Linked DNA regions of Rattus norvegicus. The protein of the gene in region 3 purifies or fractionates together with the protein of the main gene of each other region. This does not show direct contact. Links are inferred from orthologs where the notes say so. Each region holds a gene or a part of one and is shown on either strand. Other genes may lie near its edges.

Evidence for each region.
Region 1: the proteins of Ago2 (region 3) and Tarbp2 purify together in Homo sapiens (co-immunoprecipitation; 10 studies listed by BioGRID and IntAct, with this or other methods). This does not show direct contact. The link is inferred for Rattus norvegicus from reciprocal best matches to the Homo sapiens genes AGO2 and TARBP2.
Region 2: the proteins of Ago2 (region 3) and Gemin4 purify together in Homo sapiens (affinity purification with western blotting; 4 studies listed by BioGRID and IntAct, with this or other methods). This does not show direct contact. The link is inferred for Rattus norvegicus from reciprocal best matches to the Homo sapiens genes AGO2 and GEMIN4.

Annotation. Positions count from the first base shown.
Region 1 is NC_086025.1:135,530,681-135,533,444, forward strand, and holds the end of Tarbp2 (RISC-loading complex subunit TARBP2), read left to right. Parts: intron 1-267; coding exon 268-340; intron 341-529; coding exon 530-647; intron 648-969; coding exon 970-1,097; coding exon of another isoform or gene 1,098-1,101; intron 1,102-1,387; coding exon 1,388-1,589; intron 1,590-1,717; coding exon 1,718-1,875; 3' UTR 1,876-2,146; downstream 2,147-2,764. Other genes in the region: Npff (pro-FMRFamide-related neuropeptide FF preproprotein), read right to left, coding at 2,455-2,557, 2,660-2,764. UniProt on the Homo sapiens protein: Required for formation of the RNA induced silencing complex (RISC). Component of the RISC loading complex (RLC), also known as the micro-RNA (miRNA) loading complex (miRLC), which is composed of DICER1, AGO2 and TARBP2.
Region 2 is NC_086028.1:61,569,153-61,572,899, forward strand, and holds the start of Gemin4 (gem-associated protein 4), read right to left. Parts: upstream 2,513-3,747; 5' UTR 2,488-2,512; coding exon 2,478-2,487; intron 1-2,477. Other genes in the region: Dbil5 (diazepam-binding inhibitor-like 5), read left to right, coding at 3,239-3,502. UniProt on the Homo sapiens protein: The SMN complex catalyzes the assembly of small nuclear ribonucleoproteins (snRNPs), the building blocks of the spliceosome, and thereby plays an important role in the splicing of cellular pre-mRNAs.
Region 3 is NC_086025.1:106,991,553-106,995,299, forward strand, and holds the start of Ago2 (protein argonaute-2), read right to left. Parts: upstream 2,573-3,747; 5' UTR 2,427-2,572; coding exon 2,405-2,426; intron 2,398-2,404; exon of another isoform or gene 1-2,397.

The DNA.
Region 1 (2,764 bases), about 29 Mb from region 3:
ACCCAAAAGGTACTCCAGGACCGGCTGTACTGCTCCTTTACCTCTGTCACAGGGATTTTACTGAAGTATTTCCACATCTAAATGCTACTAGGAAGTAGCGAGCCTCACTTGGTGGAGACTGGGGAGGGAGGAGCAAGGCTAGATGTTTGGACAGATAGCTGCCTGCCTGGTGAAGAATTGGGAGGTGGCAGTGGCTGGCACTTCATCCTTGTCCAGGACAGAAGGAACCGTTTTCCTCAGCGTTGGTCTGGGCCGTTTTTCCTTTAGGAGCCCTCCCATGGAGATGCAGCCCCCTGTCTCTCCTCAGCAGTCTGAGTGCAACCCTGTTGGTGCTCTGCAGGTGTGCCTCATCTTCATTGTCGTGTGTGCTGTCTTCTCTGAACTAGGGCCCTGAGGCAGGGATGTGCGCCCTCGTGGGTGGGGTGGTCCTCCTTCTCATTCAGAGGCTGAGGCTCTTGGTAGAAAGCCACTCGGGTAAGGAACCTTTCTTTCCCCATTAAACCTTGGACTCTTCTGTTTTTCTCTCAAGGAGCTGGTGGTGCAGAAAGGCTGGCGTTTGCCAGAGTACATGGTGACCCAGGAGTCTGGGCCTGCTCACCGCAAAGAGTTCACCATGACCTGCCGGGTGGAGCGTTTCATTGAGATTGGTAACTGGGGAAAAGGGGGTTCACTCACCTTCTCTCCGCCACACTATAGCCCCACACAAGGTGGCTCTTTGCCTGGCTGTGCTCTGTCCCAACTTTCTTTGCTTTGCAGCTCCTTGCTCAGTTCTTCCCTCCCTGTCTCTTCCTTGTCCCTGCCCATCTTTCCCCTCTTTTCTGGCTCATCAACTCCTCAGTGAAAACGAACAGGCCTTGAGCTCCTCTTTGCAGTTATCCCATAAGGGGACCTTCTATCCAAGTTAACTTAGAGGGAAAGCATTGGTCTGTTAGGAATCCCCAAATCGAACAATTCCTTCCCTATCCTCAGGCAGTGGGACCTCCAAGAAGCTGGCAAAGCGCAACGCGGCAGCTAAGATGCTGCTTCGAGTGCACACGGTACCTCTGGATGCCCGCGACGGCAACGAGGCTGAACCTGATGACGATCATTTTTCCATTGTAAGTGGCTTGTGTGGGCTCGCCATGTGGTTCACACTGCAGGACGTGGTGTGGAATTGGGTTGGGTCTGTGATTTGGAAGTGAGTTGGACCTGCTTCTCTACCAAACCCAGGGCTCTTTGAACCTGTGACACCTAGCAGTCCCCTCAGCCTATGTGTAGGGTCACTAGGGAAAGCTGGCCTAGGGCAAAGGCCCTGTAGCAACTTTTCCTGGGATGAGGAAGCCTGCCAGGGGTCAGAGTATGCCCTGTTCTTGGGTTCTTAGCTGCATTCTCACCCTTATCTCATTAGGGCGTGAGCTCCCGCCTGGATGGACTAAGGAACCGTGGGCCAGGCTGCACCTGGGATTCCTTACGGAATTCTGTGGGAGAAAAGATCCTGTCCCTTCGCAATTGCTCCGTGGGCTCTCTGGGGTCTTTGGGCTCTGCCTGCTGCAGCATCCTCAGTGAGCTCTCTGCGGAGCAGGCTTTCCATGTCAGCTATCTGGATATTGGTATGGCCAGCCAGGGACTGGGGATGGAGGGGACTGGATCAGAGCAAGTATAAAGGAGTTGGGAGATGGGTGATGTACACTGCTTGGTGCCCCTCCCCACCAGTGCCTCCCTCTTTTTTGGCTTCCAGAGGAACTGAGCCTGAGTGGGCTCTGCCAGTGTCTAGTGGAGCTGTCCACGCAGCCAGCCACTGTGTGTTATGGTTCTGCCACTACCAGGGAGGCAGCCCGAGGTGATGCTGCTCGCCGCGCACTACAGTACCTCAGGATCATGGCCGGTAGCAAATAGCACCCACTACAGTGATGGATATCTGTTACTTCTTGCTCCTTCTGCCCTGGGTCTATGCGTCTGCCTAGCTCTGGTGCCCTCCAGAGGTGCCATCTCTACCTCTGACACAGCTTGCCTGCCTTGAGACTGAGGAAGGCAAAGGCAAGCAAGGAGCCATGAACCACAGGGCCCCAGCCAGCGCAGGGTTTGCCCTCATTCCATGGATGATGAATGAAAGGAAATTGGAATTCTATTGGAATCCAGAATAAATGCTGCTCTTTGGCTTCTTAAACCCTGTGTTCTCTGGCCCTGGGTCATGAGGGTGTCAAAGGAATACACAGTGTTTGTTCTCCTTCTGAACCCCATTCTTTTTGCTACAGGCAGGAGGCAAGGTGCAGTAGCCTTGGGGACCCTCCAGCAGAATGGCTGGAGACTGATTGAGTGGAGGTAAAGGAGGCTATAACTATTGCTCTTGGGCTCCCACCCGTTCCCTGAGAGTCTTGTCCAAACACAGATGCAGAAGCCAGACCACTTTATTTGGGGGCACACATGGAATGTGGGGAAGTGATTTTGCATGCAGACATATCACAGCAGATGATGTTACTTCTTCCCAAAGCGCTGAGGAGCGGCCAGGCTCCAGAACTCTCTAGCCTGGGGACTTAGCTGCTCCTTGCTCCAGGGCCCCCAAGCATTTCTGCCAAACCTTAGGAGAGATTCATCTTTAGTCGGCACTCCCTGTATCTCACCTTCCCTCACATCTTCCTCTGCCCTCCTCCCTTCCCAGCCTCTGCCTTTTGGAACTCACCTCTGGGGCTGAAACAAGAAGGCTGGGTTCCTTCTAGGTCTCTCCATGGCCTGGAGCAGAACACGCATGAGGGACCCAGGAGTCTGGATCCTGTCTGGAGTGTGG
Region 2 (3,747 bases), on a different chromosome or scaffold from region 3:
AACACACTCCTGCTAACAAGCTTCAACATTCTGTACCTTACAGGGAAAAAGTTCACTCAGCATTTTCTTCCAGTCAAAAAGAACAAGCTAGTGAAGGTTCTGGCTCTTGGCAAGAACCAGGAAGTGGACACAACAAATATTACATCAGGAAATTCATTCACTGAGCTAAGAACTGATACAGATATTTAAAGGAAGGCAATATGGGGGTTTAACCAAGACAATGGATTTAAATTCTAGCTCAGTCATTAAAAAAATGATGGGACTTTACACACATCACTGAGTCTCCCGTCTGCATACATGAGAATATAATTGATGGTATAACTGTGAGAATCCCATGACATACGACATCCACTAATGGCACTTTGTGACTATTTTGGTACTGATACCTTTTTGAAGCATCTCCTTGGGATGGAAGAATGGAAGGTTATATAAGCCATCTTAACAATAATCAGACCACCAAGAGCACCTGATTTAAATGCTCAATTGTTGGCAGGAGTAGTCGTGTCAGCATTTTGCCTCCTCCAGTGCAGAAACAAACGGGCACAGGTCTTTTTTCAAAGCGCATAATCTGGCCTAGAAACTAAGACTGCAACAACTTGTCATGGTCACTGTTCCTAACAACTTCTACCTCTTCCCAGGGCCTAGCTCTTTGCTCAGTCAGTCCTCTATGCTCCCAGAAGCATGTCTGCCCTATTTTCATAGGCCACAGAGTCAATAGCAAAAATACCCCCTCCAGTGGACAGTTGTGGGGGGGCCTATCCCTTTAGTCCCAGCTCTAATGAGGCAGACTTTTGTGAGGCAAGCCTGGTCCACATACGGAGTTTCAGGCTAGCCAAGGCTGCATCATGACACCGTCTCAAACTTCTCCCACCCCCAGAAAAAAATGACTGACTCCAGGCAACTACAGAATCTCCTGGCCACCAACCATTTACTGTCACTGCTCACCCACCCCAAGTCAAGGATCAGCATTCCCACAAAACTCAAGCCTGAAAGCTTGGTTTCCACAGCAGCGGCTAGGCTCACAGAGCTAGGGTTCTTTCTGGCTTAGGTTGTTCTGCCTGCCCCAAACACATTTCCTTATAACTGTGAATTAAATTTTATTGCATTAGACATCAGCTTAGCTGAGCAGATGTCTGCTGCCAAACATGTGCATTTCAGGCACTGTGTACATGTGGCTTGAGAAAGTCCCAGACTCGGTTCATAGCTACAGGAAACTCAAAGGCTTTTATCAGTAGCTGGTGCTAGGAAGTGACTGCTTACTTTGGTAGGCACTGGGCTTGGTGGCATACTTTTTTTTTTTTCTGAGATAGGCTCTTGTTACATACCTGGAATTGGCTTGAAAATGTAGAGACCAGGTTGGCCTAGAACTCTCTTTTTTTAAAGATTTATTTATATGAGTACACTGTAGAGGGCATCGGATTCCATTATAGATGGTTGCTGGGAATTGAACTCAGGACCTTTGGAAGAGCAGTCCGTGCTCTTAACCACTGAACCATCTCTCCAGCCAGGCCTAGAACTCTTGAGCTCCTCCTGCCTTCAATGTGCTAGTTAGACAGAAGCCATCACACCCAGCTTTACACCTATAAAAATCATTTAATCATCAAACTAACTTCTTAAGGATTATCACTTCTGTTTTAGAGATGGGAACCTAGAGACCTAGACACAATTTTGCAGGGTGTCAACTAGGGAGTCAAGCCGTGGCAGCACTCTTTACAGCTGCAGGGCACGAAACTACCATTCCACACTGAAGAGCTGGCTAGGGACAAAGACATTTCTCCATAGCGTATTATTTGCAAATCTTGGAGTACTTCCCAGGACGGCCTCCTCGTCTTACCCTCTAAAGAGCACACCTAGCAGGGTGGGTAGGGTTGGCAGATGGCCACAGATTTCTATCAACTGCCTTTCTTCCAGACCTCGCCTAGGAGGATACTGCAAACCAAGCAGCACTCGAATTCGGATTCAAAAAGTGCCATCTCAGGCTGCACAACCCCTGCTCGCAAGCGAGGGCTGAAGGGCACCACAGCGTGTAAGTCAACGAAGGGGGTGCTGTTATGCACGTGGTCGCAGAGAAAACGCCAAGCCTCTGGGAGAAATGCACTAGGAAACCTGTTAAGAAACATGTTCACTAACTCGGCGGTCATTCAATAAGGAAGAACGGTCCGAACGTCCGTCCGTCCCAGAGCCGCATTTCCGAAACACGTGCAGTAGCCCTGTGCATTTCCAGGAGAACCAAGGCTACATTCGCTCGCGGTTTCCCACTGAGAAGACACTACGAAGGACGGAGGAGGAATCGAGGAGACAAACGTGAGGCAGGGCTGCAGGCCGGCCTCGCGGCTGCGGGTCCCCCAAACTCCTCAAGCCCCCAGCCTCCCGAGCGGACTCGAGAGAGCGCCATAGAAGCAGCGCAGGGCCTCCGCCCGCCCTGGAGGTACTTTGTGGGGCGCGGCCCAGGCCAGAGTAGGGAAGCAGGAACCCACCTAGGTCCATGGCGGCGACGCTGGCGGCGGGCTAGACCGCCCCTCCTATTCCAAGGCCGCGAACAAGGCGCCACGGCACAAAGGGCGGCGCTACAGGCGCGTCACAGGCCCCGCCCACAGAGCGTCTCCGCTTCCGTGTTGTACTCTGCTATCCGCTGCCGTCCAGGGCGCACGCGTACTCCTTTCCAACAAGCTCGCGGCGTCGAAGCCGCCCTACCCACAGCGCCCTCTCTCGGCGTAGGCTTTCCAGCCGTCTACTCACAGGTACCGTTGGCCGTCTCCAAGTGGAACCTGGCCTCTAGAGGCCAGTAGATCGAATCCCTTAGTTCAGACTCTTCATTCACCCTCAGGAACCCCGGGCAGCTCCCGCCCATGATTCACCCATATGGAATAATTTTCCTTGGGCTGTCTACTAACCAGCAGCGGATCCACGGGATTTATCTTCTTCCCATCCACGCTGAGACATACACAAATGCCCTGTATGCTTTTCATGCTGTACTGCCTTCTACGGGCAACAGCATAGTCAACTTTCAGAGCTCATAGGTGCTTTTATAACTTTGAAGGGCAGTCATACTGGAAAAAGCACTGTGGAGCAGGAGCAATCGAATGGACTCCTGGTCCACAGCTTGTACGTTATCAAACACACACTATCTCTTTGTCCCTTCTTTCAAGGCCTAATGATCACCTGACTTGCTTATTTCCAACTTTCTTCTAGTACCAGGTATCACTTATAACACAGAGGCACGGCTTCTGGTATACCAATGAGCCAAGTGGAGTTTGAAATGGCCTGCGCTTCACTCAAGCAGCTGAAGGGTCCTTTGAGTGATCAGGAGAAACTGCTGGTGTACAGCTTCTACAAACAGGCCACCCAGGGCGACTGTAACATCCCTGTCCCTCCTGCCACAGATGTGAAAGCAAAGGCCAAATGGGAGGCATGGATGGTAAACAAAGGGATGTCCAAGATGGATGCCATGAGGATCTACATTGCCAAAGTGGAAGAGCTGAAGAAAAACGAAACTTGCTAAAGAACATTTTGGCAGACACAAGGAAGTAGCATGGCTCCACTGGTAGGGGATGGGCTTAAGAGTTCCTGACGGCTGAAACACACTGAAAGGGTAGCAGGGTTAGCAGAAACATCAATAAATCATTCGAACTGCATGAGAGTGGAGTCTGTTGCAAAAGAGACTATTAGCATTTTGTCTAGGCTCCACCCCAGTTACCTGGCAACAACCAGATGTGCCTGACTCACTATAAAAGGGCCCCTCCTCTC
Region 3 (3,747 bases):
AGCTTTTACATCTTTTCCCCTGAACACTTATTTAAATCCCTTCACAAGCTCCTGGGGGGAAGATTTCCCACAAGTGCTCAGCCACCCGGCTGTGCCTTCCAGCTGTTGGCAACGCTTTCCCTGCAGCACACAGGCCGCCAGGCAGCAGTGGTACCCTCAGACAAAACTGTGAATTGGGGAGGAGGGTGGGGGAAGGGGCTAACTGCTGCCATTGGAGACCACAGAGAGTAAAGCGATGATCAAAGACGCAGTCGTGATCCGCAGCTCTCAGTCGGGTTTCCACAGTCTCCGAGGTTATTTTGTAGCAAATATTCATAGGCTATAAAGCAGGAGCATCTCTTTGCAGGAGGCAAAGCTCCTCCCAGACAGTTTAAGATCCTTCGATGGGGGAAACCCCACCTAGAACCCACTATCTAGGAAATTTCAGGGTGGGAAGAGAATTTATCTACCCTAAACCACTAACCTTTTCCAATAGGAAAGAAAAATCTGTGAGGTTCTGAACCTTGGCCCCCAGTGCTACTAATCTCACACATGTAACAGTATTTGTAACAGACACAATGAGAACCCACTGTGGATTCTATTTTTAAAGTTAATTTACTAAGTATTTACTTCCCATCAAGCTCGGAAACAGCAAAACTTGGTAACTTTTCTTTAATTCAGATCCAATGGCCTTCCATTCTCCTAAACTTGGAAATATGGAGTCTCTTTGAAGGATGGAGGTGGAGGGGTTCCTTGTAAACAAAATTAAAAGCCTTTGTATGTGCTATGTGCAATAAAATGGAGCTGCACTCCAGCCTTGCAATTACAGCACACTGGCCCACCTGAAACTTGGGTTCCTTCCCAGCCTGCCATTAGCCAAGAATTACCCTACAGGCATCTCTTTTCTCACCCAAGGCTTTCTGGTTAGAGGGGACTGTCTCTCCCTTAGGCCACAATGCGGAGGCCCACGCAGCAGCAGCCATCTTCAAAGCTGCCAGTGACCAAAATGAACCGGTTGATCCAGGCTACCGCATTCTTTTTGAAAAGGCAACAAAGATGCCCTCGCGGAACACACAGTAGGCTCTTCCTTTCCACCCTACTTGGGAATTCACTGGTCTAATCCACACCAAACAAGTGCTTCCAACAGTGGGGTCAAGGTCAAAGGGACTGGGAAACCATTTCTATAGGAGTGCTCAAACAGGTTGTCCTAATGCAGGCTCCCGGATGTTAAAGGGTTCTTAAACCTCTCTGAGCCTCCACTGCCTGTCTCCAGAAAGGCCCACTGTGGCAAGCTGAAAGGATCAACACGCAAAATAGAGAAAAGCATGGCCTCGTCTCCAAGAAGATCACTAGAAACTGACACTCAGGAAAAACGTACATATTCGGAGTTAATGTTTGCTGGGTTCCTCCACAGCGCTGAGCTGGGGGGGAGGGGGGATTCCCAATCTGGCAGGAGGCTGCCCTGGTCATTTCGCAGGGGACCTCCAGACCCCAACATCTGCCTCCAGGACCCGGACACCTCCCAAGCGCAAGGTTAAAAGGGTCTTCAAATTACTGGGAAGCCCTTTAACGCATTTAGAAGTTGGTCAGTGGGCATTCGAGGAGCCCTATGACATCAGGAGAGGAGGCGCACTAGGCTCCGGAGCAAGCACCGTAGGGAACCCGGGAGGATCTGGGAGGCTTCCAGACCCCACAGTGAAGAAGTCTGGGGAGGCCCCAGGGCCGAACCACTAGGTCAGGTGGGCAGCAGGGAGGGCCCGCGGGCGCCAAGTACAGCCTGGCGGACAAAGGGGGGCAGGCTGAGCCCGAGCAAGCGGCGGGGCGGCCGGGAAATGGAGCCACGTGCCTGGCGGGAGAAGGCGAAAAAGCCTCCCAACACTTGTTTTCTCAACCCCGCGAGTAAACCGCCCTCCACTCTGCTCGAAAAGCGGGGTGGGAAAATACGTTCGTGTTTTTAAGTTTTCTGGAACTTTTCCAGAGAAACGGGCACGCTGGTGGGAAGGGGTGCCACGGCGGCCACCCGCTCCGCTAGGAAATCGCAGGGCGATTAGCACTTGAATGGGGAGGGCGGCTGCCCAGCGTGGAACTGCGTCCAAGCAGACGATCGCGGTCCCGGGGCCCCGGGGTTCGGTTCCCGACCCGTCCAGCTCCCCGCCCCAGGCCCCGCATGCTGGGCCCCACAGCTATGCGCTTGGGGACAGAGGGAGGAGCGCTGCGGGAGGACCGAGACCCGTTGCAGGCCGGGCCTGGGCCCCCAAACACGTCCGGGCCGCGCTGCTCCGGTGCACTGGGCCTCCCTGCCCCGAGGCCCTACCCGGCTGCCCCGAGGCTACGCCGCGGCCCCACAGGCTGGGCCGCCCTCGCCTGCCCCGCCCGCCAACCGCCAACCGCCGCGGCACGAGTGCCGGGCGCCGCGCGGACTCACCGGGGCCGGCTCCCGAGTACATGGTGGCGCTGCCGAGGGCCGCGGCCGAGGGCCGGCCGCGCGCTCCACGGGCCCCGACGCCGCGAGCCGCGAGGACCCGCCGGCCGCTCGATCCGCCCCGGCGCGGCCGCCTCGCAGAACAGGTTTACCCGACGCGGCCGGGGCGGCGGGCGGAGGCGGCGGGAGCGGAGGGGGAGGGGAGCGGGAGGAGGGAGGGGAGGAGGAGGGGCGAGAGGGACGACGAGGGAGGGGACCGCGGGGAGGGAGGGAAGGAGGGAACAGCGGGGAGGGAAGGAGGGAGGAGGCGGGGAGGAGGGAGGGGACGGCGGGGAGGAGGGAAGGTGGCAGGGAGAGAGGGGGCAGGGGAGGAGGCTGGAGGCGGCGCGCGCACGCGGGGCAGCGGGATGGGGGGAAATCGAGGTGGCGGCCCCCCGCGTGGTTGCCCTGAATGAGGGACCCCAGGAGCGACCCGGGGCACACGGGCGGGAGACCCTTCCTCCGGCCCAGCGAGGCGACGTCTGGCTTCCGGGCGCGGCCAGCCCAGCACTGCGACCGGAGTCGGAGTCCTCCCGCGCCGAGTGGCAGAGCCCCGGCCGCGTCCCGCCCCTGCACCTCGGCCTGGCTCTTTAAGTTATTAACGAAACGGCGACGGGAAGCTAGCTCCCCACCCAGAGCTTGAACTTGGACGCGGCCAGACCCGTGCGCGTGACCACACCGCCACCTCCCGGCGCGGCTCGACAACCTAGATAATCCTAATAAAGCACCAAGGAAGCACAGCAAGTTCAAGATGAATTTTATCAGCCGTCAGGGAGCAGATCTAGTCGGGGCTCCCCGCTTTCTGGGCTCAGAACCCCCAAGTTCTGCCCTGAGGCCTCCCAGACGAGCATGCTCTGTGCACATAGGCCCTTTCCCCACTTGTTGCTGGCACGTGCTCCCAGTTGTCTCTGGCACCTTTTCTATAGAAGAGGCAGTGTCAGCTCCCGCCTCACCCTGTACGCTTGACAATGCCTTCAAAGCCCATGCTGAGGACCCAAGCAAACAGGGTCCTACTGCAGGGACCCCAGCATCGGGGTAGGTTCCATAGCCTGTGCAGTGCTCAAAAAATAGTCCGAGGAGCAAGAAAAGCAGCGTTCCTTCCAATAAACATGGAAAGGAGGAGAAGGAGGAGGAGGAAGGAACTAGATAAAGAACTGTGGGGTTGCCATCCCAGCTACTCAGAAATCGAGGAAGGAGGATGACAATGCTAAATCCAGTCTAGGGTACATAGAAGAAAGCCTTGGGTACCCCTTCCTCCTAAGTGGTCGACACAAACGGGTAATTAATCATACCTAGCCCTTGTGGCC